Linked DNA regions of Arabidopsis thaliana. The protein of the gene in region 1 interacts with the protein of each later gene in a pairwise test. Each region holds a gene or a part of one and is shown in the gene's direction. Other genes may lie near its edges.

What was found. The genes of interacting proteins can lie anywhere in the genome.
Region 2: the proteins of AT1G71480 (region 1) and AT4G38150 interact in a two-hybrid assay, tested with the Arabidopsis thaliana proteins (one large-scale study listed by BioGRID).

What each region holds. Positions count from the first base shown.
Region 1 is NC_003070.9:26,929,449-26,934,485, forward strand, and holds AT1G71480 (Nuclear transport factor 2 (NTF2) family protein), read left to right. Parts: upstream 1-2,403; 5' UTR 2,404-2,630; coding exon 2,631-2,969; exon of another isoform or gene 2,970-3,019; intron 3,020-3,058; coding exon 3,059-3,173; coding exon of another isoform or gene 3,174-3,178; intron 3,179-3,253; coding exon 3,254-3,335; coding exon of another isoform or gene 3,336-3,339; intron 3,340-3,429; coding exon 3,430-3,481; exon of another isoform or gene 3,482-3,575; coding exon 3,576-3,638; 3' UTR 3,639-3,865; downstream 3,866-5,037. Other genes in the region: AT1G71460 (Pentatricopeptide repeat (PPR-like) superfamily protein), read right to left, coding at 1-868; AT1G71470 (uncharacterized protein), read left to right, coding at 1,338-1,476, 1,709-1,965; AT1G71490 (Tetratricopeptide repeat (TPR)-like superfamily protein), read right to left, coding at 3,878-5,037.
Region 2 is NC_003075.7:17,900,070-17,904,611, reverse strand, and holds AT4G38150 (Pentatricopeptide repeat (PPR) superfamily protein), read left to right. Parts: upstream 1-2,329; 5' UTR 2,330-2,492; coding exon 2,493-3,401; 3' UTR 3,402-3,516; exon of another isoform or gene 3,517-3,640; 3' UTR 3,641-4,042; downstream 4,043-4,542. Other genes in the region: pde191 (Mitochondrial transcription termination factor family protein), read right to left, coding at 708-816, 892-935, 1,217-2,200; AT4G38140 (RING/U-box superfamily protein), read left to right, coding at 4,307-4,542.

The sequences.
Region 1 (5,037 bases):
ATCCAGCAATCATCGCCCCCCAAACAACTATATCTCTCTCTACAATCTCATCAAAAACTCGACGTGCAAGCCCTACTTTACCACACTTAAAATACATATCAACAAGAGAAGTCTTAAGAAAGACACTATTAAACAAACCATTCTTAATCGCAAGTGCATGCGTCTTCAATCCCTGTCTCAAAGCAGATGCACCAGCAAAACTCTTAAACACATTAGATAAACTATAAACATTCAAATCAACACCAAGCTCTCTCATTTCTGTAAACGTAGAAAGAACATCTTGATACCGCTTCTTCCCTGATATAACAGTCCCTCTAAGCAACGCATTCCAAGAGTAAACATTTGAGCTAGTACTTTCATCGAACACCTTCTGTGCATCTTTAACCGAACCACAAGCAGTATACATATGAACAAGCTTGGTCCTTAGAAACTCATTACTCTCCAACCCATTAATACGTATATGAACATGGACTTGTTTACCGTGAAGCAACGACTTCCGGCGAACACACGCCTCTAAAAGAGCAGAGAAAGTTGTCGCATTTACAGGAATCCCTCTCTGTTCGAGATAATCAAGAATCGTGAGAGCGACTTCGAGATTGTTCTGCCTCGCAAAAATTTGAATATCTCTGTGGATAATGTAGGGGTTCTTGGAGTGGAGAGGAAGAGAAGAAGGGAAAGCATCTCTTTCCCTAAAAGGTTTCGGCTTTTTGGCGGGAGAAGTGGAAGGTCGTCTAGTTCTGCTTGGTCTAATCGGAGATTTCGCCGGAGCGCCATCTTTATCGGAACGATGAGGACGGTGGTTGAGACTCGTCGTCACGGAGAGGGACGCCGGGAGGTCTCGGATTCCGAGAGACGACACTACTTCCATTGTGACCACTAACCACTTGATTAAGCTAAAGGTCGTTAGTATTTATATGTAGCTTTAAACTATTTTTATAAAGTATGCAATTGAAATTGAAAGCTAATATTTGGGCCAGAAAATTGAAATATGGGCTTAGGGCCCCCAAAACAATTGTAGCCCATCAGTTCACACACGGTTTCGTTTTTAAAAAAAGCATGTATTTAGAATTTATTGGCTTTTATTTTGGTGGTTGCTTCAATCTTCCTCGTTTAAAAACAATTCATGTCAACTTGGACAAGTTACAAAAAAAACGTTTCATATTTTTGTCACTAAAAATATTCAGTTAAATAAAGTAATTGACTCTTCGTTTTCCCGACGATACTGTATAAATAAACATCATGTTTCTACTTGTTCACATATCGACTCTTTGTTTGTCCGATTCTATCTCTCTCTTTAGAAACTTTATCTAGTCTCTTCGAACTTAATCTTAACGACGATGGTGCCGGTTACGATCAACTCTCCACCTAAACCTGAATCATCCGAAGAAGAACTCAGCGACTCCCAAGTTTCCAACTCATCGGAAGACGACGACTCAATGGAAGACGAACCATCAGACTCTGAAAACAACAATGGAGGTACATGCATGCATCACTCTCTATTTTATTTCAGATTTTTCACTTCACCATTTCACATGTTTCCACTGTAAAGAAGTTGGAGCGTTTGTTAAGAAATACTTTGCATGTTCATGTTCTGTTTGACTGTGAGGTTTCAAGATTATTACGTTGATATAAAAATCTTAAAAGTGATTAAGATAGTTTTTGTATCGTATCTTTAATACTTTCTTAAAAAAAAATCTTATGTCAATAGTTGTTACAGAAACTGAGGCTAATGGTATTAAAGATGAGTTTTGGGCTCGGTATCCATCTTTGAAGATGTTTTTAAGTAAGGAGATGGTCAAAGAATTTATTTCTGAAGAGTATATTTTGGAGAAAGGTAAGCTTATTGGAGATAATAAGGCCAAAGAATTGAATGAAAAATGTGAGGTTTTGTTTATCAAGGAGATAGAGCATCTCATCAACAAATATCGCTTCATGGCTGATGTTTTGGAGTTGTTGTTTTTGTGAGAACTTTTCGATAGTGACGTGCATGGCTTGAGTTTGATTTTCTCGTTTTTATTTATGTTATAATTATTGTGTTCCATCTATGAATGTAAAAGATTTATGAAGGATTCGATTTTTTTCTCTTTTTTTAAAGATTATTATAAACGTCTTTCATAACCATCTCTTTATTCATTATATGTTCAGGAGTGAAAAAACAAAATCTAAAAAATAGGGTTAAATGTTTGCTTAGCTTCTCTCTTTATGTAGATTTGAGAACCGATGAACAAGAATTTACTGAAAATATATCATTGATCTAAAAATTATGAAAAACAATTCAACTTTTTATCCACCAACACATATTTTTCTTTACTTTTCTGTTCTGCTACGCATTACCTAGTCTTATATTTCGAAAAATTATAAAATCTCATTTCACAACTAAATTAAAAGTATCATTTCACAAACAAATAAGATGAAATGATGATAGAAAAATCATCAATTAATAGGAAAGAGGATTGGAGTATACTTCTATTGATTGTTACAGTATCCACATGGCATCGATAATCATAGGGACTACTAATAAGAATTTCTGTCCACAAATTCCAATTGAAATTCAAAATTCAACTCTTTGCTCTCTTAATCACAAACACAAATGAGCCACAAAAACGAAGACATCATATCAAGAAACGACGATGAGCTTCACTGCTTCTCTCGTCTCTTATTTGACGTCTCCCTCACTCGTCTCGCTCAACCATCTTCCTCCTTCCTTCTTCCTCCCAACCAAACTTGTCAAGCCAACAAGCCTCACTCATTCACAGCCTCCGAGATTGTCCGCATCCTATGGTCCAGCTGCAAAAGCTGCTACAGCCAACGACGTTGTTCCAGAAACAGCTCCGACATCAGCGTCGGAGGTCGTCTCCAGCTTCTACGCCGCCGTTAACGTCCATGATTTATCCTCTGTCACAGACCTCATCGCTCAGGACTGCGTCTACGAGGATCTCGTCTTCTCATCTCCCTTTGTTGGCCGAAAGGTGAAACGATTATTATTCTAATAAACCAAAGTCTCTTCTTTTCAGACTTTGTTGTGTCTCAGAGCCTAATTTTGATAAAGCCATGACAGGCAATTCTTGATTTCTTCGGAAAATTCATTGAATCAACAAGTACGGATCTCCAATTCGTGATAGATGATATCTCAACAGAAGACTCTTCAGCTGTTGGAGTTTCATGGCATTTAGGTTAGTTTTTAACAGACTCTTTATGATTTAGTCGTCTATGTTTCTCTAATGATAAGTCGTAAATTGGAGATTTTTGACAGAATGGAAAGGAAAGAACTTCCCATTTAGCAAAGGTTGCAGCTTTTACCGGTTAGAGGTGATTGATGGGAAGAGACAGATCGTGTAAGCACACTTTTCTCGACAGATCGTGTAGACTGACAGAGATGCCAATTTTTGTCTTGCTGGGATAAACATTTCTTCTCTGTTTTGTTTGCAGATATGGAAGAGACTGCGTTGAGCCTGCAATCAAACCTGGAGAAACAGTTCTGGTAACATGAGCTACTATCAATTTTGATTGTGTGGATGTGTTTGAAATTGCAGAGGTAATGAAGATTTAACAGCTTTTGCATTTTGTGTATTCAGGCTGCTATAAAGGGAGTTACCTGGCTGCTGCAGAAATTTCCTCAACTGGCCGACCAATTCTGATGGCATTACAAAGCTCTTGCTCGATGAAGTGAATCAGCTCACAATATAAGTTTTCTTTGTGTTATATAGGAAAAATACTTCCGCAGCAATCCCCACCATTGTCCAATTTTAGTTAATGTATATACTAGAACTTGTCATGTGTATCCAACTTGTTCTCAGTCTGGTGATATGCAGGCGTATATAGACTATGTGCTATTAACTAAATAAAGCTCCAGTTGATCATCCTCAGCTCTTCACCTTCATCCCATTTCTTGAAGAAGTTCTTCATCTGAACTTTGCACCTTATTGATGGCATAACCAGCATTGTCTTTCATCAGCTGATTCAGTCCATCTAATAGAGGATAAGTATTACATGCTTCAGGGCTTGATGTGTCCCCCACCGAAAACAGTGAAAATCCAGAATCTGTGTCGATCCAAGCACAGCCAGGATCCTTTTTCACACCCAAGTCCCTCATTATAGTCCTCACTTCAGCAAGCTTGCTCCAAGAACCAGCAGCTGCATACATATTTGCAATTAACACGTAGTATCCCGGGTTCTCTGGCTTCATCTCCAGGAGCTTTTCTGCTGCCCATTTACCAATCTGTGTGTTCCCATGGATGTGACACGCGTTCAGTAGGGTAGCCCACGTGGCACCGGATGGCTTATATGGCATATTGTGAATTATGTCTTTGGCTTTTGCTAGGAAACCTGCTCTGCCATAGAGATCAACCATACAAGAAAAATGTTGAAGACAAGGACGTATACCATACTCACACTGCATCTTCATAAACAGCCTTTCACCTTCATGGACTAACTTGGAATGACTGCAGGCTGATAGAACTGCAACCACGGTTACATGGTCAGGTTTAATACCAGATCTGGTCATCTCCTTGAACAGGGCCAAGGCTACTCCCCCTTCACCTTGATTTCCGTATCCATCTATCAAGGAAGTGTATGTTACTTCGTCTCTTTTGCTCATCAAATCAGATACTTGCTTTGCAGCTACAATCTTTCCCGATTTTGCATAAACATCAACAAGGGAGTTCCACAGCATTGTATAGTCCTTGAAGCACTTGCGCCTCAGGATGTAGCAATGAAACTCTTTTCCATGTTGCAGGTTTGCAATCCGAGCACAAAGAGGGAGAATGCTTGCTAGTGTAATGGAATTTGGCTGAAAGCCAGCAACCAACATCTCCCTCAGCAGGTGAGAGGCTTCTTCTGATTTGTTCAGCTGCGCATAACCGGAAATGATAGAGTTCCAAGTACACAAACTATTTTCTTCAGTCTGTCGAAACACTATTAAGGCGTGCCTAAGGTCTTTGCATTTTGAGTACATTGTGATCAACGTGTTTCGAACATTGTCAATCCCATCATAAGAACTGTGAATAGCAAGACCGTGAATCTCTTTTCCCAATCGTA
Region 2 (4,542 bases), on another chromosome or scaffold:
CGCAAGATATGGCTTTAAAACCCTAAACTTGTAACTGTAACTGAATCAATGGCTTCCGCGACCGGACGGAGTACGCTTTAAGGTTTGCTGTTGGATCCAACCGAACTCGGTGACGGGTTTGTCTATCTAAGCCTACACTCTCCTGCCGTTTTTATAACATAAAACGGCAAGCTGTTAGTTTACCATAACCAATGTTGCGAGTTGGGACTGGTAGGCAGGCCTAGTCCTTAATTTTGGGCCCTTAAAATAATAAATTAAGTCGGGCCTATTTGAGTTTTTTGGTCCGTCAACAAACAATTATTGAGTGCTTTAAACAAAGAAAACTACAAGGCTCGAAAAGGCACGTAGGCCCAACAAAGCAGAAATGCCGAAAACATGGCACACAGGCCCAAAATAGAAAAAATCAAAAAGGCACAGAAGCCCAACAAGCAACCACAAGAAACAGCGAACTTCTTCTTGATTCAACTTTGATCGGAAAAACCGAAGAACAAAAACACCAGTCCAAGGAGAGAGAATAGAATAGCTACAAAACGTGAATAACAAAAGGGACTCTACTTGAAAGAGCATTTGAAGCAAAAAAAAACTTTCAAGTTTGGCCGGTTTAAAATACGGTTGATCTCATCCAAAAGAGAGAGCAGAGGGGGTTTCATTTTTATATGACAGGTACATACTATATAGGCAGAGAACGATCAACCATCTCTTTGTCATCAAATGTGACCTTTGACTAGGGGCCTCCATATTTGTGGAATGACTAGGGGCTTTTTACCCACCCATACTTCCGACAAGCAGCTAGACTGCATTGCTGCATATTCTGTTCTGCAGTTAGGCTAAGCAGACACTTCTTTTGCTTGTCGGTTGCTGCAATAATCACAAGCCAATAATGACACTGACTTATCCAACAACATATACATCCCATTTTGATTGCAGTTGAATACCTGAAAACACAGGAACCACTCTATGGATATGCACTTGATCGGGCCATGGTGGTGGTTCTATCATAATTAGGTAATTTTCAAAAGGAAGTGTAGAATCCATGATAAACGAATGCATAGTGAATAATCGATGATATCTGGAAGAAAACACTCTATTGATATCACAATCACTCAAGGAAAAGCTCGTGCTAGAAATTGGTGCACAAGCTGAAAACAGCTTACAGAGAGAGCCTGATGAAGGAAAAAACTAGAGAGAGATATAAAAGCTAGAAGCTTGCAGTTACCTCCGAAAAGCCAAACTTCTCATGGAATTTCTTTGTGTTACAGTCCAGCATTTCTCTAAGGCTGCAGTCAATGTTGTTCTTTTTGACAAGTTTAAACCTCGATTCGACCTTCTTCTTCAATCCATGGTGAAAGAATTCAGGATAAGAAGCCACTTCATCCATGCCTCTTCCCATCACCTGGACGAGGAATCTGATCCTAGGCTGTAGTGAATTCTTAACACTCTTAATCAAGATTTGGGGATAACCAGTGACCATGGTTGCTATCTGGGAATCTCCAAACCCACACTCCTTCAAATAATCATAATTTGGTTTGAGAATCTTGTTAACGTCTCTGCACAAAAGTTGTGGGAAATTCATGACCACCGACTTAATGCCATCCTCACTCAGGCCAACGGATGATTTCAAGAATTCAGTGGTAGGCCGTAACCTTTTATCAACACTGTACCCCATAAGAAATGGGTTCTTCACCAGAACTTTGCCAATCATCCCATCTTGATCAAGGCCAAGGCTAGCAAGAAAGCTGACGATCACTGTCAGCTTGGTGTCGATGCTGTAGCTGATAAGCCTTGGGTTAAAAAGTATCATTTTGCCAAGTTGAGTCTCAGGCACACCTAACGCTTGAAAGAAAGCAAGAAGGGGACAGAGTTTCTCCTCCACGCTATGAGAGAGTATTGGAGGAAATTTGGTAATGGCGGAAGCAACTTCCCGAGGATTCCTTCCAAGACTGGAGAGGCACTCGACCATCGGGATGAGTCTCTCATCGAGGCGTAAAGTCAGGATTTTGGGGCATCGAGAGACGATGTAAGGGAGTTTTCTCTCTTGGATACCAACAATGTTACTCAGGTAGTCCCAGTTTTCTGATGCCACATCGCTTTGAGCCTTTTCCAACTGTTTGCATTTTCTCAACATCTTGTCGATACTCGGATCATCGAAACCTTTGTCCCTGAAGAACCACATGATGCTGCTCGTATTTGTCACCTCCATATAAACGCCACTACAACACACCAATTTTGCTTAACTTAGAGATGATTCGAGCTTTAACAAGGAAGTAGAGAGGAATTTACCTTGGAGGAGAGCCTTTCCGGCTATCCAATTGAACTGAAAGTGAGAAGCTTATCCACACGGAGGAGTGAGGACCTTCTTTCTTTCTTATACCCCCTGTAGAGTAAATGACTGTTATATCCCTCAATCCTTCTCGCGTGACTAAACCCTCCCCTTCTTCTCTCTCCGTCAAAATCTGCAAAACCCTAACTTTTCGAATCAGCGGCAGATAACGATGGTGCCTTCCTCCAAAGCCGTCGTTTTTGCAAGGCAGATGGCGAAGCAGATTCGTGTTACGACGCCGTCGATGTCCGCAACACGCTTTCTCTCAACGGGCGACAATGGTCAAGTAGACGAGCAGCAGAACCCTCCAGAGCCCTTACCCAACAGACCCTTGCGAGGGGAGAGATCTTCCAACTCTCACAGAGAACCACCCGCTAGACAAGCCCACAACCTTGGAAAGAGTGATACTACTCTGTCTGACGATGGCTTCCTCGAACAGTTCAAGCTTGGAGTCAATCAGGATTCACGGGAAACCCCCAAACCGGAACAATACCCGCAGGAGCCCTTACCGCCGCCTGAGGATTCCGATGAGATCTTCAAGAAGATGAAGGAAGGAGGTCTCATCCCTAACGCCGTCGCCATGCTTGACGGCCTCTGCAAAGATGGGCTTGTACAAGAGGCCATGAAGCTTTTCGGATTGATGCGTGACAAGGGTACAATCCCTGAGGTCGTTATCTACACTGCTGTCGTTGAGGCCTTTTGCAAGGCTCATAAAATTGAAGACGCTAAGAGGATTTTCAGGAAAATGCAGAACAATGGGATTGCCCCTAATGCCTTCAGCTACGGTGTGTTGGTTCAGGGATTGTATAATTGCAACATGCTTGACGATGCTGTTGCTTTCTGTAGTGAGATGCTTGAGTCTGGTCACTCTCCTAACGTCCCCACTTTCGTTGAATTGGTTGATGCCTTGTGCAGAGTAAAGGGGGTTGAACAAGCCCAGTCCGCTATTGATACCTTAAACCAAAAAGGATTTGCCGTTAATGTTAAGGCTGTCAAGGAGTTCATGGATAAAAGGGCTCCATTTCCGTCTTTGGCTTGGGAAGCCATCTTCAAGAAGAAACCAACCGAGAAACCCTTCTGATTTACTTACGCAGTGCTGTTAAGTATGCCGTCTCAGTAAGATGTTTTCTTGACTTGTAATAACAACCTTGAAAGTGAAAATCAATATGAGTCTTCCTTTTTCTGCTTGGAGTCAGGTATCGAGTTTTTTTTTTTTTCCTATGTCCTTTAAAAATGTGTAGTTGTAGATGTAGTTCCCTGTTTTCATGCATTCTAATATTGATTGCAAGTTCAATGAATAGCGTTGTGTTGGCGGTATAGGGTGTCAAATTATGCTTGACGCTTATCAGTCATTACCAATGATGTATGTGACTGTCTATTGCAAATGTGGCCGACTTCATGAACAAATATGAACAATAGTATCATTGGTTACATACACCAGGCATAAAACTACATCATCCTCCAAAGGCACTGCTGATCTCAGGGACGTGGAGGTCTGTTCTGTAGAAGCTGGCGCTATATTGAATACAAAATGCGTGGAGTCAACATTAAAATAGTTTTTATGATTCACTCGGAGATCTTTACTTGATTTGGTCGGCTGTATTATATTCGTGAACTCGGAAGTCAAGGCCTGTCTTGATGGAAGAATGACTCCTTACTTTTAATATATATATAAATAATACACTGGATATGAATGCCATCTTTTGTTTGTTTACTTTTGGCGTCATGTGATTCTTGTATTGTTTACTATTGTTAAATGCAAGTATCAGGTAGTGCTTAAGATGGAAGCATGTGCATCTCGTATGTTGACCATAACCTCTCCAAGAGTTTTCTTGGAGTTGGGAGAATCGCTGACTTGATTAAAGAAAAACAACAAAAGAATATAATAAGAGATGGGAGGTGGGGTCGGCGCCGTCCCTACTCGATGATATTAGTCTATAAAAGAGAGGGAAGGAATGAGGTAAAGAAGCAGAAAGCTGGAGAAAGATGATTTCAATGTTGTTTCCGCGGTCGCCTTTGTGCACAGCAGCCATAGTATTCTACACATGTGTGTGCATTCCCTTGGGGAGGTTGAAGAAGAATGGTGGAGATGCGGATGCGCATGATGATGACGGTTACAACCTAGTGGGAGTGATGTTTGGGGACAAGGAAAAGGAGGAGGAAATTTGCTGCCCCATATGCCTGGTGGAGTTTGAGGCTGAGGATGCGGTGACCCATCTTCC